Danio rerio: one gene and its partners. The protein of the gene in region 4 purifies or fractionates together with the protein of the main gene of each other region. This does not show direct contact. Links are inferred from orthologs where the notes say so. Each region holds a gene or a part of one and is shown on either strand. Other genes may lie near its edges.

Region 1 (4,042 bases), on a different chromosome or scaffold from region 4:
CATTCAACATAAAGCCAGAAATATTTAACATATATACAATCAACAAACAAATGCATAAGAGTCTCAACATCCACTCCGCAAATAAACACAAATTCAGAAAGATCAACTTTTGATCATCTTTTGAGAAATTGGTTGGTTGGATATATTTTATGTATAATTTCACTTTATTAGTGACACAATACTTGTTGTTATAAGTCCAGATCAAGTTCCAATAGATATTCTCAGATTATTCCAAAAGTATTTGTGTCTAAAAGTGGCAAGATAATAAATCAAGCGTCTACAAAATTTATTATTACATTTTCTATCTTTGAAATCAACACCATGTAATTAAATCTCATTTTTAACTGTTAGTTTATTTGGTTCACTGTAACTCTGCAAAAGCCCCGCCAGGCCTTGTGGAGGCACAGGAACTAAACTTCTCAAAAAAATTCAGTAGCCTATAAGTCAGTAAATATCCTTCATCTTTTAAGCTGTGAGACCAATAGAACACCTTTTTAACCAAATTATCATGGAAAATAGATTTTTTTTTCTTATATTCCAAGTCACAAAATGTATTTTGTAGGCTACAAATATTACTACGAAAAAAAAAGGTGCAAATGCCTCATAAATACTTTTTTAAAATATTGCCTGAACTTTATTCGGCTTACTTATTTGTTTCTAAACATTTTGATATTCCGAGTAGTTGTACATTTTGTGGTGAGGATGATGAAACTTTAATACAATTATTTTGTATGTGTGAATTTGTTCAGAAATTTTGGTTTGACCTTTATCGTTATTAAACACTCCTCCTACCTTTGCACAATATTTTAGTTTAAAATAAAGTGTTTGTTATTACTCAGAATAAATCTGAAGAATTTGTTTTCAACTTTTTATCTTGTTTGGAAATATTTTATACAAATATGCATTGTTTCAGTCCCTACTTTTCGACATTTTCTCATTAAAGTTGACTCCTGCTCAAATCTTTGCGTACGTGTAACAACAACAAAAAATGTGTCAGATACTTGGCTCTACATGAAGAACTGTTGACTCTGATTTGAGTTAAATAGCTCTTAATTAATTTATTTTTATACAATTTTATACAAGTGTAATTTACTTACCCCTTACAAATGTAGTTTGTATTGTTCCTATTTTGTATCTCTCTTATATTGATCTCCTGATTGTGGTTGTAAGTTTTCATTCTTTATTATTTAAAAAAAAGGTGCAAATGTCGTGAAACACTTTTACGACAGCAGCACTGGTTTTATGGCAAAAATGGCGTCAGCGGTCTATGTCCGCATAAACAATGAGTAATGTGTTGTTTTTGGTAATCGCGCTCTAAAAAATCTTTTTATACTAATCATTTTCCAGATATTTCAGCGTCGTCTGAATTCTCGTTGTCCGTAATGGCTGGTGTTATGGAAACAGGTTTGTTAAAATTAGATTGAATTGTTATTTAGCACATCTTTGCCCACGAGATTCCTAGCAATGTGACAGTTAACGTAAATACAATTGTTTGGTAACGTATTTTAGTTTCGTTTTGATCATATTAAGTTATACAACGTTTTAGAGGTACTACACTATGTGTTATTTTCTGTACTGGCGCAGATATATGTTGTTCAAGCAATTTCTGTAACACTTAACATTAAGGTAGTATCGTCGTTAGCCAATGTTTGCTAACATGAACAAACAAGAATCGTTATATTTATTACAGTGTTTGTTCGTCTTTGTTAAAAGTATTAATGAAATAAAGTAATCTCAACTTACGGTGCATCAACTAATGTCAAGCATGAACTTGCATTTTAATTATGCACTAATACAAGTATTGTTCGTTGGTAGTTCATGAATACATTTACTAATGATTATTTGTATTATTTCTTTTCAAACACAAACATTGCTTACGCTTCTATTTGTGCTTTGACAGACGAGCAGGCGAGACAGCGCTTTCAGCTGGAGCTGGAGTTTGTTCAATGTCTGGCAAACCCAAACTACCTGAACTGTAAGAACAACGTTAACTCTTGTTTCTTTTTTACTGTTCGCTAAATTCAGTCATTACTTTAGTCATTGGTCAAATTCACTCATTGGTTGTTACATTCTGTAAATTCAAGGTAATTTTGTTACTGTGGTCGAAATATGAAGATGGATAATGATTATTAATCTTAATTTTTTCCCCCCATCCTGCAGTTCTGGCTCAGAGAGGTTACCTGAGAGAGAAGCCTTTCGTCAATTATTTAAAGTATCTGCTTTATTGGAAGGAACCAGAATATGCTAAATTTCTAAAGTAAGTAACATGTTGTTCTTGTTGAAATAGATTGTTAATTTGTCAAACATTTCTTCTTTGGATGATGAGTGCTTCTAATAAAAGCATGAAAGAAAGAAAGAAAGAAGGATATAAAATTTGTTCAATATCGTGTAGTTCTAGTGCATAATATTTATTAGTTATTTATTATTAGTTATTTATTAGTTAGTATTATTAATTATTTATTAGTTTACTAGTTATTTTGTAAAATACTATTATTCAGCTTAAAGTCCTGTTTAAAAAATTGACTAGCTCAATTAGGCTGGTCATTTGACAGCAGTTGTTTGTTTTGTAGACAGTCGAATATAAGAAGTTCTTAAGGGGGTGAAAAATATCGACCGTAACGTTTTAAGAAATTTATTCTTTTAATGCCACCAGAATAAAGAAATGAGACATTCTATATAAGTTAAAACGTAATAGTTTAGAATAGAAATATAAATATTTGTTTTGCTAAACATGACTTGGGAAAATATTTGAAAAGGAATTAAGAATTTTACAGGTGGTCTAATAATTTAGCTGTATATAGTTGTATTTAAAAATGTAAATTGAATTACAAGTTTAGTATGTGTGCCTAATCTGTATGGAACAAAATTAATGGCAAAAGTATTGAAATAAAAAGTTTGTTGATTAGCATTAACTGAAAAAAAATAATGCATTGAATAAGCAACTGCTTGCATTTTAATGACTTGAATTGCAAGAGTTTGTATTTTTAGGGCCTGAATTTTAACACGGCTGTTTATTTAAGCTGTGAATATTTCAACTAAAAATATTTTAAACATGTTTTTATACTTAAAATTTCAACAATTCATATTCAATTTCCAGATTTCATATATATATTAAAAGTTCAATTTTTAAATATATAATACTGGTGAAAAATATGAAGCATAATGTTCAAAATTTAACTTTCAGTTTGTTTACTTTTCAGTTTAAAATTTTGCTTCCAAAAATTCAGTGGTTTAAATTTGGCTCTTAAAATTCGACATTACTTCCGGGAACTGCAGGAACAGCAATAGATTGCAGATTGGCAATCTCCAGCTGCTTTTTCACTAGCAGGTGGACCAATTTAAGATTTTTAAACCATTAAATAAAGGTTTAAAAACTCCCTTTTTAAGGGAAAAAGCTAATAACAGCACAAAAGTAGCATTTAATATTGTCCTTGTTAAATTTTAACAGCCGAATTTGATCCACTAAATTAATGGAAGAGAACTTTTGAACTGAAATAAAGTGAGTTGAAAATTGTCTTTTGAATATTATACATGAAATCCGGAAATTAAGAATTATTATTTTTAAGTATAAAATAAGTATAAGAATTTTCAAGTATAAAAACGTGTTTGAAAAATTTTTAATTGAAATATTTACAGCTTAAATAAACAGCTGTGTTAAATTTCAAGACCTAAAATTACAAACTCTGGCAATCCAAGTCATTAAAATGCAAGCAGTTGTTAATTTAATATATTATTTGTTTCAGTTTGTGCTATTCAATACGTTTTTTTTTTGTTTTTGTTTTTTTTAACAATACTTTGATTTTGTTCCATAAATCTGCAGTTTACATAACCTAAACTATAAAGTTATATTATTTTATTTGTCAATATAAAGCAAAAACAGACAATATGGTGCCAAATTGTAGGTCGCTTACCATTAGTGCTGTGTGATACTGAACAGAAAAGATTTAAGCATTCTAAATAATTCAATGCAATATTTTATTAAAAATATCAAATCAATGAAATATTTCATATGATTTCAGGGAAAAGAGAACATCACTACAAC
Region 2 (4,236 bases), about 370 kb from region 4:
CTACATGCGATTGTCTTTCATTCTCACTGTCAGATGTATAAATAATGGTTTGCAGGACAGTGACAAAGTTTAACGATTTCAGATATGATTTAATGAGGGAAATACAGACATCTAAGTAAAAGTACAGTTCATTCGTTCATTTTCCTTCAGCTTAGTCTCTAATTTATCAGGGGTCACCACAGCCGAATGAACCGCCAACTATTCCAGCATATGTGTTATGCAGCGGATGCAGACAAGCTTTAACTCTGTCCACAAATTTTCTATAGGATTGAGGTCAGGGCTTTGTGATGGCCACTCCAAAACATCCATTCTGTTGTCCTTAAAGCACATTTGAACTCATTTAGCAGGATGCTGAGGGTCATGGTCTGTTTGGAAGAGCCATTTGTGGCCAAGTTTTAATTTCCTGGCTGATGCCCTGAGATGTTGCTTCAGTATTTCCACATAATGTTCTTTCTTCATGATGCCATCTATGCCGTAAAGTGGACCAGTCCCTCCTGCAGCAAAACAGCCCCACAACATGATGCTGCCGCCCCATACTTCACAGTTGGGATGGTGTTCCTAGGCTTGTAAGCTTTCCCCTTTATCCTCCAAATGTAACACTGGTCATTATGGCCAAACAGTTCAATCTCAGCTCCATCAGAGCACAGGACATGTCTCCAAACATGAGTCTTTTTCCCAGTGTAATTTAGCAAATTGTAATCTGGCTTTCTTGTTGATTCTGGCTTGTTGATTTTCCCATGTTGTCACTCAAGGAAGCAGTGTGTTTGAGCTTTTCCTTAAATACTATTCTACAAAAACTTTAGTCACATTAACATCTGAAATGGTTGTGGGCCTTTTTATACAGCGTATGTAAACTTCTGCTTTTAACTTAACGGATTGACTGATTGGTTAGATAGACAGACTAACCGCAGCACACTGAGGACATCTGCTGGTTACATGGGCGTAGTGCAAAAAGTAAAACTAAAACTACACAAATGGTGCTTGCTTGGTGTAAACGGTCTTAATATTGTTAAATAAACATTCAATTTCAGCCCTAAACTAGTCTTCGATAATGTATTGATGTATTGAAATACAATACATGTAGTTCAATTATATGAGACGCAAAGTTTAAATATAAGATGTGTCATTGAAAATGTATATCTATCATGGAAAAGTTTGCATGTCTCTCATGTTAATATATTGTCTGGAGTTTTTTTAGATGTGTCCTGTGTCTTTGCAAAGTCCTCAAAGTGGGGGGAGGGGGCAAAAAATTCAGGAAGGCTGATGGCTGAAAACATTATTATTATTATTATTATTATTATTATAAACACATGTAACTAAATTACAATATACCACATGCCAGAGAGCAAGACAAGAAAATCTTTTAAACAGATTGTTCGACAATGTCGGAACCATGGTGTTGTGAGTGTGTGTTCCTGCCGGAATGTTTTCAGCGACGCTCAAGCTTCTGGTGTTTCAGTTCTGGCGCTGCTCTTCTGTTGTGTTCATCAGAGCCTCATTCAGCGTTAATTAAAAACTACAGCGCACACTTTCATTTCAGACATGGACGTATGAGTGTGCGTGAAGGTGTGTGCTCGTGATGGCGGTCCCGATGGAGACTCAGCTGCAGAGCATCTTTGAGGATGTAGTGGTGGGTGATGCAGCACACACACTTCTCATCCATTCATCACAGTAACAACAACAGCAGCAGTCACATCTCAATCATTGAGGTAAAGTTGGTTTTATATTCGCACATTCCTTCATTTAACATTCCCTATATATTATCTACTGTGTTAATTTGAATATAGGGTCTGAAATCAGATTTAAATGACTTAAAACAACATTAGCACTATTTAATTGACTGTGAACAGTGTTGTACTTTGATAGTTATTGGCTGCTAATATGATTTCACTATTTAGAGTTTACAAATAATACTTTTCTAAAATTATATTATTAAGGAGAAAGTCTGAATGTCCGAATATAAAACCAAATTTACCTAAATTTCTCAATCTCAAAGTGATAACCGCACCATTAGGGTAAAGTTGATTTTATATTCGCACATTTGGACTTTTAAAAAATATATATATTATTTCCGAAAAGTATAATTTGCAAACTTTAAATAGCGAAATCATATTGGCAGCCAATGACTATCAAAGCACAACGCTGTTCACAGTCAATTAAATAGTGCTAATGTTGTTTTCAGGTCATACTTGCAAGCTATTTCAGACCGAATATTCAAATCACCATGGTAAACAACACAGGGAGCATGTCAGAAGTTCTCACTGAGCGAATGTGTGAATATAAAATAACTTTACCTCACTAGCTAAGCTGTACACAGCACAGTCTCATGTATAACGGCTAACTGATGTCAGACTAATGTACACATTTTAACTTTCAACTGTTTTGTTTACGTCAGAAAACGGAGGTGATCGAGGAGGCGTTTGCTGGGTGAGTAGACTAATAAAACACCATATTATAGAGCGAAAACGCACAAGGGCTGCACGATACTGGAATGTTAAATATTAATTATTATTTATTATCTGCATATTTATATTTGTGTAATAAAAACTAGTGTAGACGTGTCAATCTGTGTGGTTTTGGAGACGTCTGCATCACCATATGGGGCATAAGAACAGTACGTGTGCTTGATATAACTGGTTTTCTGACCACACTTGGTTATTATTGTTCATTTATTCCTTTGCTGGAGATTAGAACTGAATTTAGAAATAGTTTTGAAACACATCTTTGTGCTAAACAGACTAAATGTAGTGGGCTAATGGATGTAGTGGGCTAATGGATGTGTTCAGTGGAGTGAGATTCCTCCACCAAAGTAAAGGAGTAAAAGTAAAGAGAAAGTAAAGAGGCCGAATGGAGGAGGCTCGTTCTTTATCCTCTCGCTGCAGATGCTCTGTTTAACTGTTTTCTCGCTAGTGTAGTGTTCAGTTTTTCCTCTTACAAAGTCCGCCATGTAAATAGCAAATCCACCATAACACGACGCAACTGACTCTTAAAGGGAATGAGAGAAGAGACTCTGATAGGTTTATTACACGTTATGCTCAAAACACACTCAGAACTCATTAAGAGAATAAGCTTAACCTTGTTAGACTGTGCGCCGCGGCGCAGTGCGTAAGTGGATTCAGACATGCCCTTAATGCTTTTGTGCCATGAGCTTTAGACTTTGCACCTAGATCATTAAAAAAGAGCCCAATGAAGAAGTGGAAACCTGCGAAGATCACCTGACAGGCTGTTGTTACTTTCCTCTCTTGACTCTACTCCACCCACTAGTATTCAGTTTTAGCTCTGGGTTCAGCTTTTAGCCAATAGCAGAACAACAACTACTGGGGAGGCGGGACTAAAGATAGTAAGGCCCCATCTGATTGGTCAAATTTACATAAACAACCAATGCATCATATAAATGTAATTTATGACACGTCTATGATTTGTATATTAAATATATAATCATCAGGAGAACGATACTTTTGCGAGATATTGTGCAGCCCTAAAATGCACACTTATAAGTGATAATGGATACCTAAATTATGCATATGTGTGTGTGTGTGCGCAGCATGTTCATGGACAGCCCTGAGGATGAGAAGACCAAACTCACAAGCTGTTTAGGAGCCTTTAGGCAGTTCTGGAGTACCCTGCCGCAGGTCAGAATCAACACACACACACACACACACACACTCACACATGCACCCACTCACACACTCAGAATCTCTCATACACTTGTTCATATGCACACTTTTAATCTCGCGTGCACACACACACAGACTTGCTCACAGTTGCTCATATGCACACACTTGCACTCACACACACACACGCATACCCATATGAACGCGCACACACACACACACACACACACACATTCTGTTGCACAAACACACACGCACACCCACGGATAAATAGATAGACAGACATTCGGACACGCCCTTAATGCTTTTGTGCCCTGCGCTTTAGACTTTGTGCCTAGATCATTAGGATAGAGCCCAAAGTGTTTATAGTGACCAACATTATTGGTAAAAACAAAAGAGTTTTGATAAAATGAGCTAAAAAAAACTAAGGTTGCAATTTTTTGATCCTGCATTTAGCATTTGTTTACTTATGTTTGCATTATTTCATGTACATATTTTTCAAGGTGTTGTTTGTTAAATCTCCCTTTGGAAAACAGCTTCACAAGGGTCCATGTTTGCTTTGTGTATCACAATATTGCATAAAGCTGCTTTATAAAAGAAGTATAAGTGTTGCAAGATTTCA
Region 3 (4,175 bases), on a different chromosome or scaffold from region 4:
CAGATGGCTAGAAAGAGAGAGATGAAGGGATGGACAAACACAGGATTAGACAGACCAGACGAACAGAAAAATTGATAGAAAAATGGACAAAGATGGAAAGATAGACAGAAAGATGGACAGACGGATGAAGACAGAGGAAGGGATAGACAAACCGACAAAAATGGAAAGACAGACAGAGAGATAGAAAGAAGGAGGACAGAAAGATTGATAGACAGAGGGATAGAAAGACAGACAGATGGAGGGATAGACAAACAGAGGGTTAGACAGATGGACAGACAAATGGAGGGATAGACAGATGGGCAAAAAGACAGAAAAATAGAGAAATAAACAGATGGAGGGATAGACGGACACAAAAATGGATATACAGATGGAGGGATAGACAGACGAACAGAAAGATGGATAGACAGAGGGATAGACAGATGAAGGGATAGACAGAAGGACAGAAAGATGGATAGACAGAGGGATAGACAGATGAAGGGATAGACAGAAGGACAGAAAGATGGATAGACAGATGGCTAGAAAGAGAGAGATGAAGTGATGGACAGACACAGGATTTGACAGACCAGACAAACAGAAAAATTGATAGACAGATGGACAGACGGATGAAGACAGAGGAAGGGATAGACAAACCGACAAAGATGGAAGGACAGACAGAGAGATAGACAGATGGACAGAAAGATGGATAGACAGAAACAGACGAACGGAGACAGATGGAGGCATAGACAGATGGATAGAAAGATGGAGGAACAGACAGACAGATTGACGGATAGTTTGATAGACAGACATATAGATACACAAATAAACAGACAGAGAGACAGACACACAGTCAGTCAGATGAGAGACAGACAGACAGTTGGTAAAACAGGACAGACACAGACAGAGAGAGAGTCAGTGAGTGCAGCATTCACCCAGTCTGGTCGCCGGTGTCCTGCGCTCCTCCTCGGCTGTGTCCTGCAGCTCCTCCTGCTGTCTGCGGGCCTGCTCCAGGATCCTCCGGCTCAGCTTCTCATCCACGAACTCCTGCTGCTCCTCCTGCCCGCGGCCGCGCTGCTTCTGCCGGCCGCTGCAGCGCACTGAGTCCCGCTGGAGGATCTGCTCGGCCAGGGGCACCGCGCCGCCGCTCCAGGCCTTCTTCACCTTCGGCATGATGACGGTTATCAATATTAGTATTATCTGCCTGTCTGTCTGAGGAATTATGAGTGTGAAATCGCGTCTGAACACATGACGCGCCGCGGAGAGCTGCACACACGTGGGTCTGAGAGCAATGGCGCTGAGAGTGTGTGTGTATACATAGATATATGTCTGTAGTGCTGCTCTGAGAGCAGTTGGAGAGATGAGCGCTGTTTTGGAGCGCGCAGAACTACTGATCCCAGAGCGGCGCTGCGTCACACTGTTTACTTCCGCTCGAGGCTCGGCAGATCTCGGCTCTGTTCATTTTTAGCGCGGCTAATGTTTTTATATTACATGAATTTAATGATTGTTAATATTTTTATTTTATCGAATTTAAGTGTTTTACTTTTACTGATTTCGCGTGTTTCACGCAAACTCGAGTGATCCGGAAGTAAATACCCCGGCTTGCGGAAGTTTGTCTCGAAGAAATGGGTGTAACGTGGTGAGAAACACTTTTGTTTATAAAGTATTGTCCTCAAATAATTAATATTTTCAGTTGTGCTTGTTTTGAGTCTCTCTGGTGCTCCTGATGCTCCCGTTCAGCGCTGTTTGAATGCACAGAGAGGCTTTTGCTCCTCATTCATCAGTCTATTTATTGCTTTATACATGTTTACATCACATGTCACTCTTAAAAGTACTTTACAAAACTGTTATTAGTGTTGTGTAGAACACAATGAAGGCCTGTTATTATTATCAGGTGCACGTGTTCATTCAAACTAACATTTAAGATGAAATATAAGGATATTTGACGAGGTTTTCCCGAAGTTTTGTATAAAAAAAAGTGTAAGATTATCAGCTTCATTTACTGCAAACATATAAAAAAACATTTAACAAGTTTTGTAGTTTACAAGCACTCATTTAAGTAGTGTTCAGGGAGTCCGCGGGGTCTTAAAATTTATTAAAGTGCCCATGAAATGAAAACTAGCCTTGTTGTTGTTGTTAGCTCACAGTGCTAGTTCTGTGGTGAATAATTCATCTGTGCATATTATTGAGAAAATGTAATAGTTTGCCCTTCTAATCTTTAATTGAAATCTGAAAATGCTCTTCCTGTTTGTTTTCAGTTAAATTATCAGATGGTGTGTTTTTGAGAGAGGGGTCTGGCTGCAGACCTGGTGCAGATGCAATCTGAGCTGCATCCAATACTTTAAGCTGTGCTTACACTGGGCTTTTCTCACCATAGACTTCATTCATACACGCGAATGCGTCAGACTGGAAACGCAGGGTCATGCGTCAAGTTTCGCAGGTCACTTCAGTGCAAAGTTCAACCTTGGTGAAGTCGGACCTGCGAAATCACATCACTTGACTGCGGGAGACCAATCGAGGATCAACATGAGCTCTCTGGACAGAAATGAAACACATGCAGCAATCACTCGCTTTATTAATGCCTAATCATCTTGTTTAATCCCGCCCCTTTTCGCAGCGCCGTACGGCGGACTTTCGCACACGCAAGCTCTAGTGTGACTGCAGCTTTAATGTGCTCACCTAACCCCACCCCTCAAAGTGACCTCACTAGCTCAATTGTGTCCGACATTGCATCACTAAGAGATGCAATCTCAGCTTGCATCACAAAGGCTGCATCCAGATACTATTGGTTTTAGGCAATGGGCGGGGCTAACATTCATAACCACGCCCCTCCAGCTGTCAGTTTTGACAACAAACAGAAATGCTGAGCTGGGGTCCGTACGTTGCTTAAATGATCTTGATGATTTGGCAGATCCTTGATCTGTTCATCTTGATAACTGATCTCTGGCTAATTTGGTTCCTCAAACAGGTTCGTGAATTAGATTAAAATGTCTGGATGCACATCTGAGATCAGCGTGTGTTGTGAAGGGCAGATTTATCCATCCCCAAAATCATGATCAGCAATGCAGCGATTGGCTGACGGCACAGCAGCGCAATGACATCATCTGATCAATATTCAATTCTCCATGTGAGCAAAATTATTTAAAATTCTTAGTAAACGGTTTGTTAAATATGACACACAATAACTTCCCATGTTTGTTGTGAGCTGCAGGCTTTTTTACACATTCATGTGTCAAGAGTATTCAGCAATTTATTTTATTGTTAGAGCAGATTTTCCTTATTACAGTCGCCATATTAGTATTATAGTAGCCGGTTTCTTAATTGGTATAAAGATTAACAGGATGTTTAAATTAATTTTGCATCACAAAAGCATTTTACTATTGGTAAAGATGTCTGCAACTTTTTTGAAGGCATTAAATCCCAGTCATATTACCGAATACCTGCATGAATGTATTATTCCTTTATAAAAAAAGGTTGCATTAATTTTCTCTTTGATCCACCAGGTGGCAGTATTTGTACTTTTATTTCGGAGTGCAGATTGCATAAGTTTTATTTATATATATTTTAACTTATATATATATATATATAGTTAAAAAATATATTTACTATTTTCCCAAGTGTATATAACTATATAACTACTGTAATAAAAGATCAGAATTCGTTACATAGTTTCAGTATTATCTTTGCTTGAACTGAACCGATCTTATCCTGTTTATATGAAACAAGCTGCTGCTCCCCAGCAGGTTTGAGCTACCAGAACTATTGATAGGACAACAGCTCTCAGATGAGTTTTGAAGAGCGTAACGATCCTGGAACATGTCAAATCGTCAATAACCAAATCCGTTATATAATAACTGAGTAATGCATGTACGAAGAACGGACCCCTGGGGTTTGGTTTTCATAGGTGAATTACTCAAGTATATCAATCTATCTATATAGCTAGATAGACAGACATTACACATATGCACACACAGACTCGCACAATTATTTTTATTATTTATTTTTATTGATGTTTACACTGATCAGAATGATCTTGCTTTAGTAAACTACCATTTTGAAACTGTTTTTAATTGTAAATAAATTAAACGTCTCAAATGTGTGTGTGTTTGTGTCAGTGTTTGTCAGGTGCCAGTGGCCGAGGGTAAGAGCGTCCAGCAGACGGTGGATCTTCTCCACAGGAAGCTGGAGCAGCTGGGAGCCGT
Region 4 (4,024 bases):
GCGGCTCGGACGGACTCACTCACCTAGGGATTGTGCGCAGATCCCCGGTTCCTTTGGCTTCGTCCTGCCGGGAGAACCACACCTCCAGGAGCTTCTCGGTCCCCTCGAAGAAGTGTGCACTGCTCTCTTCCATCGTGAGACAAACAGACTCCAACAACAGAAAATAAACCGTCGGATGGAATCACAAATTATGTAGTCCTTCGTTGGCGGTTATAACTTAATAGCTTAGTTACAGTCCTTGAGCAGTCCAGATGTAGTTGCCTTATTTTTTTGTTTGTATTTACCGTCTTCCCTTTTACAGAGAATACCGTAGGCGAGTGCTAGCTAATATCGCCGGCCATACTGTGTAAGCGCAGAACGGCAGTCTGCGCGGAGCTTTTATTACCTACCCGACGACGTCATTCTCGTCGTTGCCAATCGCGGCGAGGGAGCCACCCTCAGGTCTACAGCGATTGGTTGAACGGATATCAGTCAAGCGGGATGTTGCGTAAAAGTATGAGTTCACGCTGTAGTAGCGCGTGTGTGAGTGTGTGTCCTTGTATAGATGAGCAAACATTTGCGTTGCTATTGACCTTATTCTAAAATGCGGAAGTGCGCCTGTTTTCGCGATTGTCTTAGAACTTCCGATTCAGTCGCCTATGGGAGAAATGACTAGGAATAATAAACGACAGAAAATGGCCAAACTACTTGCTCAACAAACAAATGTTTGCATGACTACACAGACCAAGTAGCATAATATAATAAGAAAATATTAAATTGCAACATCAAGCAGCGTAACGTGCAGTTGTTAACGTCAAAAAATGAATGGAAGTGAATGTGACCGGAAGTCGCGAGACAAAAAGATTCAAATGGCAGCGCCCGCTCGTCAGCTGAGAATAAGGTGAATAACGCTGAGCCACTGCACAAATAATTGACTCCCATTTATCTAGCACTCTCTTTGAAAAAGAAAAAAACTGTTAGGTTATGTATTCCACACATTTTATTAATTATGTTTAGTTATTATAAGCTTTTTTTCTGCCATTGTGCAAACACTCCAAGCGCTAACGTTCAGAAATGTTAGTTTTGAATCAGAGTGGAAAGACGAAAGGAGGATTTGTTCGCTGTAGTTTTTCAGATGTCCTGCCGCCGTCAACTCGAGCTGGCGCTCCATCAAACGGCACTACGCTCCCCACAATGCAACCCGCCACAATAAAATACGTCACCGAGCACGTGACCGTTAAGCGGAGCCGACCAAAATCCCAAACAAGGAAATGGTGGGGTAATAAAAACGATCGGATCATTTAATTAATGCATGTAATAATTAATATTTTATTTTCTTGTAAATTAAGAAATATTTATGGGTTAAAATGGACTACGACTTCAAAACGAAGCTCGCCGCCGAGAGGGAGAGAGTGGAAGATCTGTTTGAATATGAAGGTTGTAAAGTGGGTCGCGGCACATACGGGCATGTTTATAAAGCGAAGCGTAAAGACGGGTAAGAGACACGCGTTTGATTGACGCGTTTCACTCACTGCACGCGCTTCTGCTGTCTCTGGGTGTGCAGGAGCTTCATATGTGTCGGGGGAATTGCGCTGTTTTCTGTAGCCTGCGTGTGTGTGTGTGTGATTGTTTTTGTTTTCATGGACGCACTTCAAACGGTCCACCCCCAAACCAGCCAGCGTGATGCATGTTTCACTCTTGTGTGCAGGAGTTCACTGCAAATCAGTTCCTCTGTCCAGAAGTTGCATGCGTTTGAAGTCCACTGTGAGTTTGTGTGCTCGGATGAGAAGATGTCATGTTTACATGTGCTGGAATTCAGAGGCTCACCTGTGCACGAGTTGACATACTCATTTACGCAGTATAACAGCTGCCCACTTCTTCATAAGTGCACAAGCTCTTGCGTGCTGGAGTTTATGGAGCATCTGTGATCGAGTTCACGTGCTTGCAGTGTGTGTGTGTGTGTGTGTGCTCTTATTTATACAGGAGTCAATGTGTGCTCAATAAAGGGGTCCTCTTATGACACTTTACACAAGATGTAAAATAAGTCTCTTATGTCTCTAGAGTGTGTGTGTGAAGTTTCAGCTCAAAATACCACACAGATAATGTTTTATATCTCTCTGAAATGGACCCTTTTAGGCTTTGATCCAAATCATGCTGTTTTGGTTACTGTCACTTTAAATTTAAAGCATAGCAGCAGATTCGAAACAGGACTAAAGTTTCTTTGTGAAAAGATGAAAATGTGGTGGCGATGCAGTAAGTAGCACAACCTACTGCGCCACCGCATCTCCAATTTTTTAAATATCTGTGTGATATTATTTTCTGTGGTGGTTCATTCCGCTGCTGCAACCCCTGATAAGTACGAGAGTACAGCCTGGTTTATACTTCTGCGTCAAGTGATCGGCGTGACCCACGGCGCATGCAACGCGCGTAGCCGTGCATTCATACTTCTGCGCGCTATTTCTGATGTTCTGCAATAACACTTCCGAAAAGCTTGTCGGCAATGAGGTGTTAATGTTCCTCTGTGTTGAGTTTATTCGCTGGCGTTTTGTTTTTTCTGAACGCTCAAACTCGCTTATTTTGAGGCAGGAACCGGCGGACATGCAACAACTTTAATCATAACCCACATAGCAAAGTTTCTCTGGCCCAGCTGTGGCCCACACAATCAGGTTTTGCTTGGCCCACATGCCGCAGTGAATTACGGTACATGACTGGACCAAATCTGGCTTCCAGACAAGGGCCAAACACGGACCATATCTGGGCCAAGTCTCAGCCAAGTTAATAACTCATAACTGGGCCTGAACTGGGCCAGATAGGTTGGTGTGTCACGATTGCAATGAAATTGATAAACCCATGGAGTGATGCGCTTTAGGCACACTATGGGCACGCTTTTTCTCAAAGTGACCTGATTGGTAGAATTTATTTTCTTTACTAAAAAATGATTTTAGTGTATTTTAAATGTGGGTCAAAACTGGCCAAACTCACATGGCCCACTTATCAAATTTTTAAATCTGGGCCAAATACTACGTTTTTCATCTGGCCCAAATCTTGTGTGCCGCCTCTGCCAAACCCGGGCCATGTTTGGCCCACATGCTGTATGCCAGTGCCGGATGAATGCCTGCTGTGCCAGCTTTATGCCAAATCTGGGCCAGAATTCTTTGCTACTAGGGAAGGTAAACACAAAGCAAAACCTTTCATCCGGAGCTCCATCACGGGACTCCACACTTGTAAACAATCGCTTCATCGGCCTCGCACAGCTCTCGGTCCCGCCCACACTTGTCAGCGATTCCAAGCTAACCAATCCCAGAGCTTGCGCTACATGTCGTTGCGATGTGTAGTTCCATTTTTTGAGAGGTGCGTGTCAGCGATGGCCACGGCGTTGGGCTATGCGTCAGCGCGTAGGCTGTGCTGTAGCATACGCGTGCGCTTGATGCAGAAGTATAAACAGCCTTAAGCTGGTTTGTGTTCACACTGTTTTTTCCTTCTGAACCCCGGTACGCTTGCGTCATCGAGCTGCTGTTTTGTTTACAGCCGTTGCTAGGTGACGGTCACGAAAGCAAGAGGCGAAATGGACAAGGCCTAATTTAATGATTTACGCTTAGCTAATAGTAACTGCCAAGCTGGGAAACCCAATGACAGAGGTGAGACACAGGTCGTATATGTTTGTTTCCATGACCCACAGGGTTTGTTGCATGTTTTCCCCCCTGATCCTGTCCGGGCCGATACAGCAACGCTGTTTGTTTGCAGCAAGCATTTTTTTCAGGAAAGCGTCAGACTTTGTCTTTTATCATTTATTCATTCATTTTCTTGTCGGCTTAGTCCCTTTATTAATCCAGGGTTGCCACAGTGGAATGAACCACCAACTTATCCAGCAAGTTTTTATGCAGCGGATGCCCTTCCAGCCGCAACCCATCTCTGGAAAACATCCACACACACACACTCATACACTACGGACAATTTAGCCTACCCAATTCACCTGTACCACATGTCTTTGGACTGTGGGGGAAACCGGAGCACCCGGAGGAAACCCACGCGAAGGCAGGGAGAA
Region 5 (4,187 bases), on a different chromosome or scaffold from region 4:
GTTAGCTGTAAATATTGCCATGTTTTCATTTGATGTGCGTATTATGGAAATAATAATAAGCAAAACAATCTAAATTTGAATTGTGTTAATTTGAATTAGACAATTGTAATTTAATAAATCTGAATTTTTATATGCCGTTAAAAATTGTTTTGAATTTCTTAGTTTGAATTTTCTAACTTGAATATTGAAATGTAAGACAACTGAATTTTTCAAGGCGGAATTTTTTATAGACATATTCTCAAACGTTTGATTTTTTGTGTTAAAATATTACAGTAGGCTATTTTTTGACTGAAATGCATTGAAATCAAAATGTCCAATGGGTGGCGCTAAATCTCTCTTTGTCACTGAATTGTTCATTCACATTCGTTATTTAGACCATATATATATATATATATATATATATATATATATATATATATATATATATATATATATATATATATATATATAGATATATATATATATATATATATATATATATATATATATATATATATATATATATATATATATATATATATATATATATATATATTTCCAGCCCTGAATTTCACAATCTGAATTTCTGGTTTTGAATTTTATGATATTGATTTGGATGTTCTAAATTTCTTCATCTTGAAAATTTGAAACTGTATTTTCACAAACTTAATATCTACAGTCTATGAACTCAGAACACAAACAAATCAGGCTTGAAAAGTTCTTGCATTTCAGATGTTCAATACTCAAGTTATGAAATTCAAATTCAAATGAAGAAAATCAAATTTAAAAGATTTTTAATGTCATAAAAAAATCTGATTTTTAAAATTAAAATTGTTAATAATTCAAATGAATACAATTCAAATTGTGATTGTTTTGGCACATTATTAGCTCTGTACGTCAAACCCTTTCTGAGACACACACACACACACACACACGCACGCACGCACGCACGCACGCACGCACACACACACACACACACATACACACACACACACACACAGAGAGAGAGACTTAAAAGGTTAACTTAAACATATAAATTAAATTATAAAAATGTATAAACAAAAATAAAACGTTTATATAAAAAAAGAGAAAAATAATATATAAATAGCGTACATACATACATACATACATACATACATAGATACATACATACATACATACATACATACATACATACATACATACATACATACATACATACATACATACATACATACATAAAAGCATAGGAACAAAAAAGCCTTTTGTTAATAAATAATGCATAACCATGCATGAGTAAACATTTTTGTTAACGCTTTTATGCTTCAAAAGTAACGTAGATAGACAAATACAGAAATAGATCGGAGCTCCAGCCCAATAGGGGGTGGTAAGTATTAGATGAGTCTTTGAATCCGGAAAGAGTCGACGAATACAGGCGCTCAATGATGTGATGTGCAGCTTCAAAGTGCTATTTGCTGAATTAGAATAGATTTGAAACGCCAGAACAATTTATATTATTAACAAATTAATTTATGTTCGGACTTATTAGCAGGAGCATGTAGTTTTGAGTCTGCCATACCCATCATTTTCTTCTGTTTCTGTACAGTAGCGGTGTTTGCTTTTGTTGTCTCCCGTAGTGATTGTGAACACATTCAAAGGTGTTCATTTGGGGCATCTGTGCTGTAAACAGTAAGTTTCCTTCATTATATGATGGATATCGCATATGTTTGCGAGTGGGAGAAGAGACCCAAGAGCAACCACTGTCCTTCAATCCCTCTGGTGTGCGCCTGGTCATGTAGAAACCTCATCGCTTTCACCACTGACCTGAAGAATGAGGAGGATGACAAAGGTCTGGACAATGCCTTTATTACCAATATTACCACTCCTGTTGGTGAGTTATGAATGGAGGACAAGAAACAACATACATTTTCAATTCGTTTTGGATCCAAAATACATAGAACAATGGTGTTTATTTATGATCAAGCATTATATCAGCAACAACAATCATGTTTTTTTTTTCTGTTGCAGATCTCAGTCATATGATACACATCATTGACACTGATCACCCCTGGGATGTGTACTCCATCAATTCTGGTCACAATGAGATAATTTCCTGCCTAGAATGGGATCAGTCTGGTCAGTCATCATGATGATAAAGATGAAATGGGCTAAACATTTGGCAATATGTGCAGATCATATTTGACAAGTTTTTTTTAGAAGTAAAGTTTCCATTTATTTTAGGTGGGTAGTCTCAGTATTGTAAGGGTAAGCCTAATTTTACTCGATTAATGTACTGCGATGGTCTTAAATCAGTACAGATTAGATACAGAATAATAAAATCTAATATAATATTTATTTTTATTATAGATTTTTTGTAATAATATAATTATTTTATAATTGACATTTGAATCATTTTAGAGTGTTAAAAACATTTGAAGAGAGACGCGTTTCAATGTAAAACCTAAATACTTTTCCAAATCAGGGTTTTTACCATTATCAAATACTAAAACTATTTAAAAAATCTGATAATAAAGAAAAAACTTGTATTAAATGAAAATTACAAATGTTGCTTTAGCAAGTAACAGAACAGAAAAAATATATATAATTTATTAAAATAAAAGTAAATCAAAAAGGCAAATAAAAAAATTATACTTTATATTATAACAAATGAAAACAGTAGTGCAAATAATACAATTGCTAAATTTAATATGAAGCAAAAAAGCCAAATCAAAGTATGAAGAAAAATAATAATAAAAAAGGTATATTCATTTTTATTTAATATTCATAAAACATTTATTAATTAAGTTGTTTATAAAATCAGTTTTAGGGATACTCCTAATAACTGATTAACCCGTTAACTTAAAGCAGGGGTGCCCAAACTCAGTTCTGGAGAGCCGGTGTCCTGCAGATTTTAGTAGGGATGGCTGACGTGAAACTGACGTTTCGACACAGTTTCGAGATCCCGAAGCACAAGTGTTTCGAAACACTGCACCGAAGCATGATCCGAAACACCCAATTCACGTGACTAAAGTGTTTCAAAACACCTGGACACGTGACTAAAATGATTCAAAGCAACAATCAGTTAAGAAGTGTTTCGAGACCTTGCGAATCTGGATGTAACTGCCGGCGTCAGTTTCAAAATCTGTCTCATATGGCCTGGTGGACTGTGCCTGTACACGCTGTTTTTATACTTCCAATGACTTTTGGGTTTGAATCCCGACTTGTACAAATACACCTAAATCATGGTTTTATGTATTTTAATCATGTTTCTGTTTTATGGTGTAGCCTAAATAGATTAAAGCTGAGGATACGCCATCAATATAGCATCATTTTTGTAACACTAAAACAATAATAAATATTTTTACAGTACTGTGATGGTTGGGTTTAGGGTTTGGATAGACGTTAATGAAATACAATAAATGGGAAATTTAATAAATAATATAAATAATTCTTGATACCTTCTGGCCACAACTGTGTCTGATCTAGCAACAACTCTGTTTTAATACCAAAACAAGACATATTTATTTACAAAGTGTTTATTCGGATGTCAGACCAATGTTGAAACAAAACGAAACAAGAACAAAGCATTACCAACTGGTATTAAAGCATTTCAAAAAAGCCGTATCAGCCTGGATTCAAACTCAATATCCCCACATGGAAGTCAGAAACCTTAACCGCTCCACTAAATCTCTTGAATAGATACTTTTACAAAGTGGGGTGTAATACCTCAATTTGCTAAAATGTTCTTGCTGAAGCTGTTTCAGTGCAATACATAAAAATGACCACTAGGTGGTCACCGTAGAGTGGGGTTTCAAAACATTTCGAAGCTTCGACACATTTGCTTCGACTGTTTGTTTCAGTGTTTCATGAAGCCTCGCTTTGCCCACCACTAGATTTTAGCTCCAACTTGCCTCAACACACCTGCATAGATGTTTATAGAAAGCCTTTAAAAAGCTTGATTAGATAGCCCAGGTGTGTCTGATTGGGTTGGAACTAAACTTTGCAGGACACCGGCCCTCCAGGATAGAGTTTGGGCATCCCTGTCTTAAAAGGTGCATTTTAATCTATTATTGGTATCAGTTAAATGATTAAAAATGTATTGTTTTTATTTTATTTAAGTTTGGCTGCATAAATGTGCAACACATATTTGCTTATTCGTGAGACAGTAACATGTGCAACTACATGTGCCCACAGACATATTTTGCCAAAAAAGCAAAATGAAAGAAGGA
Region 6 (4,186 bases), on a different chromosome or scaffold from region 4:
GATAAGCTTACCAATTCCTTATTATCCAATTTGTCATGGCAGTTTTCATTTTAAGGCATTGTTTTTTCTCTTCTTGTTTTCTATTTTGCGCTCCACGCCTCTTTACTCTTCTCTCCATTTTGAACATGTGACTGTAACCGAGCAACAGATCAATTAATTGGTCAACGAAGAGGGAGGGGTGGTATATTTTTTATTCAATAAAATAAAATTTGAATAATTGTATAATTCAAATTAAATAATTCATATTGGTAGAAGTACACAATGTTGTCACAACATTGTGATTAATAACTGGCAATGTCACAGTTTTATTGTTGCAACGTTTCAGTTGTCACAATGTAATTAGTTACATTGTCACAATAAAACTGTTGCACTTACATTACTACCACGTATTTACTCCACCAGCATCACGTTGTGACCTGTTCACCTTTTTTTGCAGAAAAAATGGCTCAAAATCCTGTGCAAGACTTGTATCTGTCATTTTCCAGATAAATTGATGCTGTATTGACCACAAAAGAATGACCTACATCATGAATTACTGTGGTCTAAAACCAGGCGTTTCAGTTTCATTGTCCAACCCCTGTAAATAAAAAAAAAACTGATAAAAAAAAAAAATAATAAATGTCTGTGTGTGTGTGTGTGTGTGTGTGTGTGTATATGTATATATATATATATATATATATATATATATATATATATATATATATATATATATATATATATATATATATATATATATATGAAGTCTCCACTTCACTTCCTAATCTGCAATTGCCTCTCTGGATATCACACTAACTGTACCCCAAAAAAAAAAAAATACTAATACTTTCCTTCTTAGACTTTACAGACCTGAAACTTGCCTATAGCACTTATTCATTGTTGCTCTTATAGTTGTGTAAGTTGCTTCCTTGTCCTCATTTGTAAGTCGCTTTGGATAAAAGCGTCTGCTAAATGACTAAATGTAAATGTAATATATACACCATAGTGTTTGTGTGTGTGTATGTTATCAGTCGCATTGAAAAATATACAATCAAAAGTTATTATGAGAATAAAACCCACAAATAACCTGAAGGGAACATCATGGGAAGGTTCTCTTTAGTTTATGAAAATAAGACCCACAAATAATCTCCAGAAAATGTAATATAATAATAAATAATAAGGGAACGTTCTGGGAAGATTTTGGTTAGGTTTTGGTTGCCAAAAAAAACTACAGATAACGTTCCCCGAAAAATAACCAAACGGGATGTTCCATATGGGAAAGTAAGAATGTTATCTGCTACACTACAGCAAAGAGCATCTAAGCTCTTTGGGTACAGCCTATTGCCAGGTGGCGATATATAGACAAAATGCATTGTGGAAAAAGCGAAGAAGAAGATCACGTGACGTCATTTCAGTTTCTCGATCCAGTAGTCTGTTGTTAGGCATTTTCGCCTGGTTATTGCGCTTTGTTCGCGGTCTATTTTAACGAGGGCTGATTTTATTGTGACCGCGTCTTAGTATAATGTTTTAGCTCTTTCTGCTTTACCGTTGTCGGGTCACTGTTGGATGCAAATTCGGAAGATGGCGGCGGTGCAAAGCAGCAGTCCGGTCGCAGACTCGTCCCAGGGAGGCACAGCCGCGGGCTCCGAGCGTCCCCGAGCCGAGGATGGATCTGGTAACGTTACAAGCACATACTTCCTGTTTACTTAAAGTTTATTTGTGTCAGCTAGAATCTACAAAATGCTTTAATTATTTTTTAGAAATGACCCATAGATTTCCCTTTTACGGATTGTGCACGATTTCCGAGTCGTCCGTCAGATATCTCGAGTGTTTTTGGGATGTTTTGGCGAAGGTTAGCATCAATGTTGAAAAGTAAATATTTATTGTAACGTTACATTAATTAAATTTCTCATAATCAGAAAAAATAAAGGGATTGCTGTTCATTTTTGGTTATTTAGTTAGAATGAATAAAGGGTGGTTGGGACTTTTTTAAATTTCTACCATGCTTTTTTGCCATGACTTAAAAATATCAGCCCAATACATGATACATTTATGTAATACTTACTTACTTGCCTGTCCGTTTATGGAGGAAAGGAAACATAGTTATTTGTTAAGAATAGGAGGAGTGCTATAGTCTTTATTATAAACTAAGCCAAAACCGAAAGTTTTGGTGATTAAGACAAAAATCTATTTATTAAGGCTGGTGTCTGTTAATGCGTGTTAAGCATGATGCAGTTTATTAAATATTAGCCTACATATGAATTTTATTTATTTATTATAAAACAGAAAATGTGTTATTTCTTAATGCAAAAATGCATGCAAACATTAGTCTGTTATTAGACAATGTTGTCAATAATGAAATGTCATCGTTAATGGCATTTGGTGATCATCAGATATTATTGCTTGTCATTAGGTACCAATTGACGGATGTCCGTAATTGGGAAGAGCTCTGAAAGCTTTACTTGAGGTCAGGAAGCGCATGAAATGCCAAATTTAGGTAGGCTACAGAATTCTGACCTCAACCGGGACATTGGGAAGCTGCAAGCAGGCCTGAGGCAGACACAGGAGTTGTAGAGCCAGTGAGAACATATCAAAGTGTAATTTTCAGAGCTTGGAACATGTTCAGAAGGATTGGTGGAGTGAGTAGAATGCATGGTGGAGGCAGACAATGGGTAACAACACCAAATTATAACCAATACCTTTCCCTGCGAGGGAATCAGTCTGCAATCAGTCTGCAAAATGACCTACAGCAGGGGTCTGTAACATTTTTTCAGCAAGGAGCCATTGTTTGTTTTTTATTTATCAAATACATTTTTTAAAGAGCAATTGGGGGTGTGTGTATATAACAACATCTTTACTTATTTAAGGACAATTTATAGAATGAAAAAAAAATCAGTATGCCATTGCCACTTGTGAATGAATTGGTGTTGCGATTCAAGTTAAGCCACAGCACCACACATGCTCATTAGAAACATCCTTTTATTGTAACCTGAGTTCTTATTTTGCTTTAAAAAATACAGTATAAAGGGAATTATAATTGTATTTTCAATATGAAACTGGTTTCTAATAACAGTTATGATTTTTAAACTTTAAAATATTATTGAAAGAAGACAGCTGGAGAAAGCTACATATTTTTGGTCAAAAAGCCACATGTGGCTCCTGACCCATAGGTTCCCTACCCCTGACCTACAGGATGCAACAGGAGTGTTAGTATCCAACCAGACAAGCCCAAGGTATAGGAATGAAATTCTGAGGCCAGTTGTCAAACTTTATTCTGGTGCAATGTGGCCGGATTTTGTTTTTATGGATGACAATGCCCTCCACGTTGAGCAGTGTTAGTGATGGAATACTTGGAGGAGCCATCCTTTAACAGATTATTCAAAACATATGAGAGGTGGTAACACTGATTACTGACTAGTTGTTCAGTTCTTGTACATGACTTGTTTGTCATATTTGCAAACATGCAATTTATGTTTGTTTGACAGTATGAAGTCAAATTTTGTTCTGCTGTAACAAGTATTTACATCTCAAATACATAAATTGAAAAGTTTTCTTTTCTGTTTTGGAGCTTTGCTAGTTTAAGCTCTGACGTTTCATGCAAAGCTACTACGGTACGGGATCCAGGAGGGATGCAACGGTTCTCTTTAAAAAATCGTACCGTCCTGTTGTCCTCCCATGGTTCAGTGCGCCCTGTGATCTGCAGTTCAGAATATGCATTTTTAATATTAGTTTAGTGTTTAAAAACAACTGCAACAAAACAAAAAAAAATCTGCCTTTACCTATGACATGCGCTGGACATGGGAGGACATGTCTCAATCACCTCTTAAAAATCTGTAAGTCTGTTGTTGACATTACGTCTTCTGACGTGTCTGTGTGTTTGAGTTTCTGAGAGTTCAGCAAAAGTGCAGGTGAGACCAAAACACAGCACATTGCTGTCAGTGTTTCAATAGACACTCAATGTAAATTCAGACAGATAATAATAACAAATGCTTAATCTTTTTGTTTATTTTTTGTTGATCACTAAAGGGCTTATCGAGGTCTGTCTCCAGACCCAGAAGTGTCCCGTACAGACCCAGACATACAGCAGGCCTGTTACTTCAGCTGAGTGTTTAGCATCCGATCGCTCCTGCTATTTATTAATTTGTTTACCCGCTGTCTGCTAAGAAAAGTTTACTTTTCAATTAACTGTTTTCTGCTAAAAAAATATTTA
Region 7 (3,975 bases), on a different chromosome or scaffold from region 4:
AACCTGATTGAGATGCTGTGGCATGACCTCAAGAGAGCGATTCACACCAGACATCTCAAGAATATTGCTGAACTGAACAGTTTTGTAAAGAGGAATGATCCAAAATCTCTTCAGACAAGTTGTGCAAGTCTGATCTGCAACTACAGGAAAAGTTTGGTTGAAGCTATTGGTAGGTAGGTAGGTAGGTAGGTAGGTAGGTAGGTAGGTAGGTAGGTAGGTAGATAGATAGATAGATAGATAGATAGATAGATAGATAGATAGATAGATAGATAGATAGATAGATAGATAGATAGATAGATAGATAGATAGATAGATAGATAGATAGATAGATAGATAGATAGATAGATAGATAGATAGATAGATAGATAGATAGATAGATAGATAGATAGATAGATAGATAGATAGATAGATAGATAGATAGATGAATAAAATATTTCAGATAGTGAACATTCCAACAAATCAGGCACGCAGGAGAGAACAAAGTAAGACAAAAATTCTTAATCTAATAATAGTTTTTGTACAGTTTGAGTGCATAAGCAGGTGATATGTAATGAAATATTCCAAATTATGACAAATTGTTGATTTTGTGCTTAATTTTACCTTATATAATATGTATTCATCATAGTTATTTTACATAAACTGTGGTATTTAACTGTAGGTTTTTGTTTGATCTCCATAATTTTCCACCAATTATTTCTTCTCAGACCATGCTGAGAATCATTATCAAACTGAATCTGAAGCTAACCGCAAGCTTTGTATGTCACTTCTTTCTGTCAAAACCGTATTAAACTGGTAAGACATCTGTTGTTTAAAACTGATAAACCATAAATTTATTTTTCTAATTCAAAAAGGCAATTCTAAGTCAATTCTGCAATACAGCCCTACAAATCATAGCCTAATAATATTTTTGATGCCTTGCTCAAGGGTTTTCAGCTATTTCCATGAAATAAAAGTATGGTAAACACATTACATTAACGTACTATTGCTGTTATGTGATAGTGAAAACTGTTACATTGTACTTTCATTTCCAGTGTTACTCATATTCCCGAATCAAAAGTTCGCTACAATCTATCGGCGAATCAGAGGACGCGACATCACACCACCCAATCGCATTGACCTTTACTTCAACAAACAGATACTCTCAGCCAATCAAAGGACGTGATCTTGCAGACCAACATGGCGGCTCGGAGTGCAGAGAATTGTAAATGAACAAAAACCTGATTCATTTATTACAAATTTTGAAATATTTTGTGGTAAGTGATATTTTTAAAAATAGCAAATCATAAATTGGCCTTCTATATTATTTGTCCATTTGATTTGTGCATTTTATACGCGAAATATGTTTGTTTTATGAGAAATTAGTAACGTTACAGCTGAGATGTGACGTTCTCCTGTCATACACTGGGATGTGATTTGTACATTACAAATACTTATTATACTGTCTACAGTCTTAAGGATCTGCCAATATGAAGGTGGTGAATCTGAAACAGGCCATCCTACAGGCGTGGAAGGAACGTTGGAGTGATTATCAGTGGGCCATTAACATTAAGAAGAACTGTCCCAAAGGAGCTACATGGGATTATCTCAATCTAGCAGGTCATATTTACGTCACCTTACAAATGACTAGTGTGACTATATACAGCCTTTCTTTAACTGCCGTCTGAGCGCCTTCACTCCATTTTGTCCGCTATTGTACATGCCAGTGGTTTGTTTTTAAAAGAGTCTACTTCTTTCTTTCTTTCTTTCTTTCTTTCTTTCTTTCTTTCTTTCTTTCTTTCTTTCTTTCTTTCTTTCTTTCTTTCTTTCTTTTTTTGTATAAGGCTCCATGTATTTAATCTGAATACAGCAATGCAAAATATTGCAACTTGCAAGAACTGTTTGCTGGTTTTATTTATAAAAACAAAAGCCGAATTCTTTGTTATTCCTGTGAGAGAGTTGTTTTGTAAATAACTGTTCAGGGTCACATGATTCTAAATAAATTATTGTAACATAGTCATCGATGCTTAAATTTATTTTTGTTTTTGCTGTTTCACATTTTCTGTGGGAACCATGGTAGATGGTCTTAAAGTAGTTTAGAGTAAAATGAAAAATAAAAGTAAAAGCAAACAAAAATTTACAGTTGATAGTACAATTAGATATAGATATAAATAGATAGCCTAAAAATAAACACCAAAAAGATTTCTGAAGGATCATGTGACACTAAAGACTGGAATAATGGCAGCCGAAAATTAATTACAGCAAAAGTTTACATTTGTAAAATGTAAATGAAAACATTTTCTGTTAATTGCTGTAATCTAATCAGTGGTGAAAAGAGTACAGAAAAAAGATACTCAAGTAAAAGTACCATTACTTGCCCAAAATGTAGTGCAAGTAGAGTAAAAATATCTGTTGTAAATATAACTCAAAGTATGAGTAAAAAGTACCCGAGTAGTGAGTATTACAGTGTGAATGCAATTTGTGCAGGTGTGTGTAAACGTAACATTCTATAGTGCATTTAGTCAATTGTTTAAGACTATTTGAAGACTTCAGATGCAAAAACCTCTAAAAGTTATTTGATATTTTCTTCTAAAATTAGCATTTTTCTCCTTTCTGTAGGCTCAGTCATTTTACTTCTATGGTGACGAATAAGTTCTTTTCATTGCCTTTCAAGTGAAATAACTGAACATAAACATAGGAGGCTGACAAAAATGCTTATTTTAGGAGAACATTTCAGAGAACATTTACAGGTTTTTGCATCTGAGCTATTCATTTGTCGATTTCAGTCATCATACAGTAAACATCTGCCATCTTCTTATCAGTGACATGCAGTCTAAACAGTCATTCCGTGTAAAGAGTTTAGGCATCTTCTTGGACACTTTCCAAACATTTCCTGAGGTTGTTCAATATGATGCAAAACTATTATTAGTTATTTTAGCCAATACCCATAGAGAAGGAACAAATAAAGTAGTGACTGTAGGTTAAAGGAAAATAGTGGAGTAAAAGTACTGATACTGCACTAAAAATGTACTCAAAGGAAAGTAAAAAGCACACATCTTTAAAACTGCTTAGTAAATTACAATTCTTGTGAAGAACTACTCAGTTACAGTCATTTGAGTATTTATAATTTGTTACTTTACACCACTGAATATAATATTGTTATATGACTCTTTAAAAAACTGCCTTAGTGTGCATAAAAGACTTCTTTTAAAAAACACACAATCTTTAATATTCCAAACCTTTGATTAAAAATGTCCTAAATTCACAATTTTGTAAATGGATACGTTCAGTAAATGGTTGCATGATATTTTAATTATTTATTTTTAAAATAATTGTCCTTTTTTCGTCCACAACAGGGGTGCAAACCTCCCCTTTTGAGAGTATCGTTGAAAGTGCTGTGTAATAGCTGTATAGTTGTAAAGGTGTAATTACTCTTTCCTCAATACAGAAGCTCTTCTGGAGCAGGCTATGATTGGCCCATCTCCCAACCCCCTGATCCTGTCCTATCTGAAGTATGCCATCAGTTCACAGGTAAACACACAAGTCATACCCGTAGCCTTTTTTTTTCATATAGCAAGAGCTGCATTATGGCAGCTGAATTTAATGAGTAGAATACCTCTTTATTAATTTCCATATTTGCCAACAAAAATAATGTTTGTGTGCTACTGCATGTGCACCACTAGGTGGCAGTATAAATTCAAGATGACAGCTTCCACAAAAAACAACATTTTTCTATAACATATTTTCTCTCAAACCTGTAGATGGTGTCGTATTCTAGTGTGTTAACGGCAATCAGCAAGGTTGGTGTATTTTTTTATATTTATTATTATTTGTATTTTTTAATAGGCGCTATTTATGTAAAATATTTTTATTTGCTCATCCACAGTTTGATGATTTTTCACGGGAGCTATGTGTCAAATCATTGCTTGAGATTATGGACATGTTCTCCAACCGACTAAGGTACCGTCTGTCAGTTGATCACATCTGTCCACCAACAGT

Evidence for each region.
Region 1: the proteins of cdk19 (region 4) and med31 purify together in Homo sapiens (affinity purification with mass spectrometry; 6 studies listed by BioGRID and IntAct, counting the BioPlex papers as one, with this or other methods). This does not show direct contact. The link is inferred for Danio rerio from reciprocal best matches to the Homo sapiens genes CDK19 and MED31.
Region 2: the proteins of cdk19 (region 4) and med23 purify together in Homo sapiens (affinity purification with mass spectrometry; 5 studies listed by BioGRID and IntAct, counting the BioPlex papers as one, with this or other methods). This does not show direct contact. The link is inferred for Danio rerio from reciprocal best matches to the Homo sapiens genes CDK19 and MED23.
Region 3: the proteins of cdk19 (region 4) and med20 purify together in Homo sapiens (affinity purification with mass spectrometry; 5 studies listed by BioGRID and IntAct, counting the BioPlex papers as one, with this or other methods). This does not show direct contact. The link is inferred for Danio rerio from reciprocal best matches to the Homo sapiens genes CDK19 and MED20.
Region 5: the proteins of cdk19 (region 4) and med16 purify together in Homo sapiens (affinity purification with mass spectrometry; 6 studies listed by BioGRID and IntAct, counting the BioPlex papers as one, with this or other methods). This does not show direct contact. The link is inferred for Danio rerio from reciprocal best matches to the Homo sapiens genes CDK19 and MED16.
Region 6: the proteins of cdk19 (region 4) and med1 purify together in Homo sapiens (affinity purification with mass spectrometry; 7 studies listed by BioGRID and IntAct, counting the BioPlex papers as one, with this or other methods). This does not show direct contact. The link is inferred for Danio rerio from reciprocal best matches to the Homo sapiens genes CDK19 and MED1.
Region 7: the proteins of cdk19 (region 4) and med24 purify together in Homo sapiens (affinity purification with mass spectrometry; 6 studies listed by BioGRID and IntAct, counting the BioPlex papers as one, with this or other methods). This does not show direct contact. The link is inferred for Danio rerio from reciprocal best matches to the Homo sapiens genes CDK19 and MED24.

What each region holds. Positions count from the first base shown.
Region 1 is NC_133196.1:43,308,451-43,312,492, reverse strand, and holds the start of med31 (mediator of RNA polymerase II transcription subunit 31), read left to right. Parts: upstream 1-1,242; 5' UTR 1,243-1,382; coding exon 1,383-1,404; intron 1,405-1,900; coding exon 1,901-1,975; intron 1,976-2,160; coding exon 2,161-2,257; intron 2,258-4,042. UniProt on the Homo sapiens protein: Component of the Mediator complex, a coactivator involved in the regulated transcription of nearly all RNA polymerase II-dependent genes.
Region 2 is NC_133195.1:2,669,492-2,673,727, reverse strand, and holds the start of med23 (mediator of RNA polymerase II transcription subunit 23), read left to right. Parts: upstream 1-1,434; 5' UTR 1,435-1,579; coding exon 1,580-1,630; exon of another isoform or gene 1,631-1,637; coding exon of another isoform or gene 1,638-1,709; intron 1,710-2,395; coding exon 2,396-2,427; intron 2,428-3,544; coding exon 3,545-3,632; intron 3,633-4,236. UniProt on the Homo sapiens protein: Required for transcriptional activation subsequent to the assembly of the pre-initiation complex. Component of the Mediator complex, a coactivator involved in the regulated transcription of nearly all RNA polymerase II-dependent genes.
Region 3 is NC_133197.1:573,958-578,132, forward strand, and holds the start of med20 (mediator of RNA polymerase II transcription subunit 20), read left to right. Parts: upstream 1-1,372; 5' UTR 1,373-1,598; coding exon 1,599-1,612; intron 1,613-2,941; exon of another isoform or gene 2,942-3,100; intron 3,101-4,088; coding exon 4,089-4,175. UniProt on the Homo sapiens protein: Component of the Mediator complex, a coactivator involved in the regulated transcription of nearly all RNA polymerase II-dependent genes.
Region 4 is NC_133195.1:3,039,685-3,043,708, reverse strand, and holds the start of cdk19 (cyclin-dependent kinase 19), read left to right. Parts: upstream 1-1,218; 5' UTR 1,219-1,346; coding exon 1,347-1,474; intron 1,475-4,024. Other genes in the region: amd1 (S-adenosylmethionine decarboxylase proenzyme), read right to left, coding at 24-133.
Region 5 is NC_133186.1:14,600,310-14,604,496, forward strand, and holds the start of med16 (mediator of RNA polymerase II transcription subunit 16), read left to right. Parts: upstream 1-1,383; 5' UTR 1,384-1,665; coding exon 1,666-1,807; coding exon of another isoform or gene 1,808-1,849; intron 1,850-1,986; coding exon 1,987-2,094; intron 2,095-4,187. UniProt on the Homo sapiens protein: Component of the Mediator complex, a coactivator involved in the regulated transcription of nearly all RNA polymerase II-dependent genes.
Region 6 is NC_133187.1:16,852,305-16,856,490, forward strand, and holds the start of med1 (mediator of RNA polymerase II transcription subunit 1), read left to right. Parts: upstream 1-1,381; 5' UTR 1,382-1,542; coding exon 1,543-1,651; intron 1,652-4,186. UniProt on the Homo sapiens protein: Component of the Mediator complex, a coactivator involved in the regulated transcription of nearly all RNA polymerase II-dependent genes.
Region 7 is NC_133187.1:11,225,630-11,229,604, reverse strand, and holds the start of med24 (mediator of RNA polymerase II transcription subunit 24), read left to right. Parts: upstream 1-1,168; 5' UTR 1,169-1,253; intron 1,254-1,448; 5' UTR 1,449-1,466; coding exon 1,467-1,596; intron 1,597-3,424; coding exon 3,425-3,507; intron 3,508-3,737; coding exon 3,738-3,776; intron 3,777-3,862; coding exon 3,863-3,936; intron 3,937-3,975. UniProt on the Homo sapiens protein: Component of the Mediator complex, a coactivator involved in the regulated transcription of nearly all RNA polymerase II-dependent genes.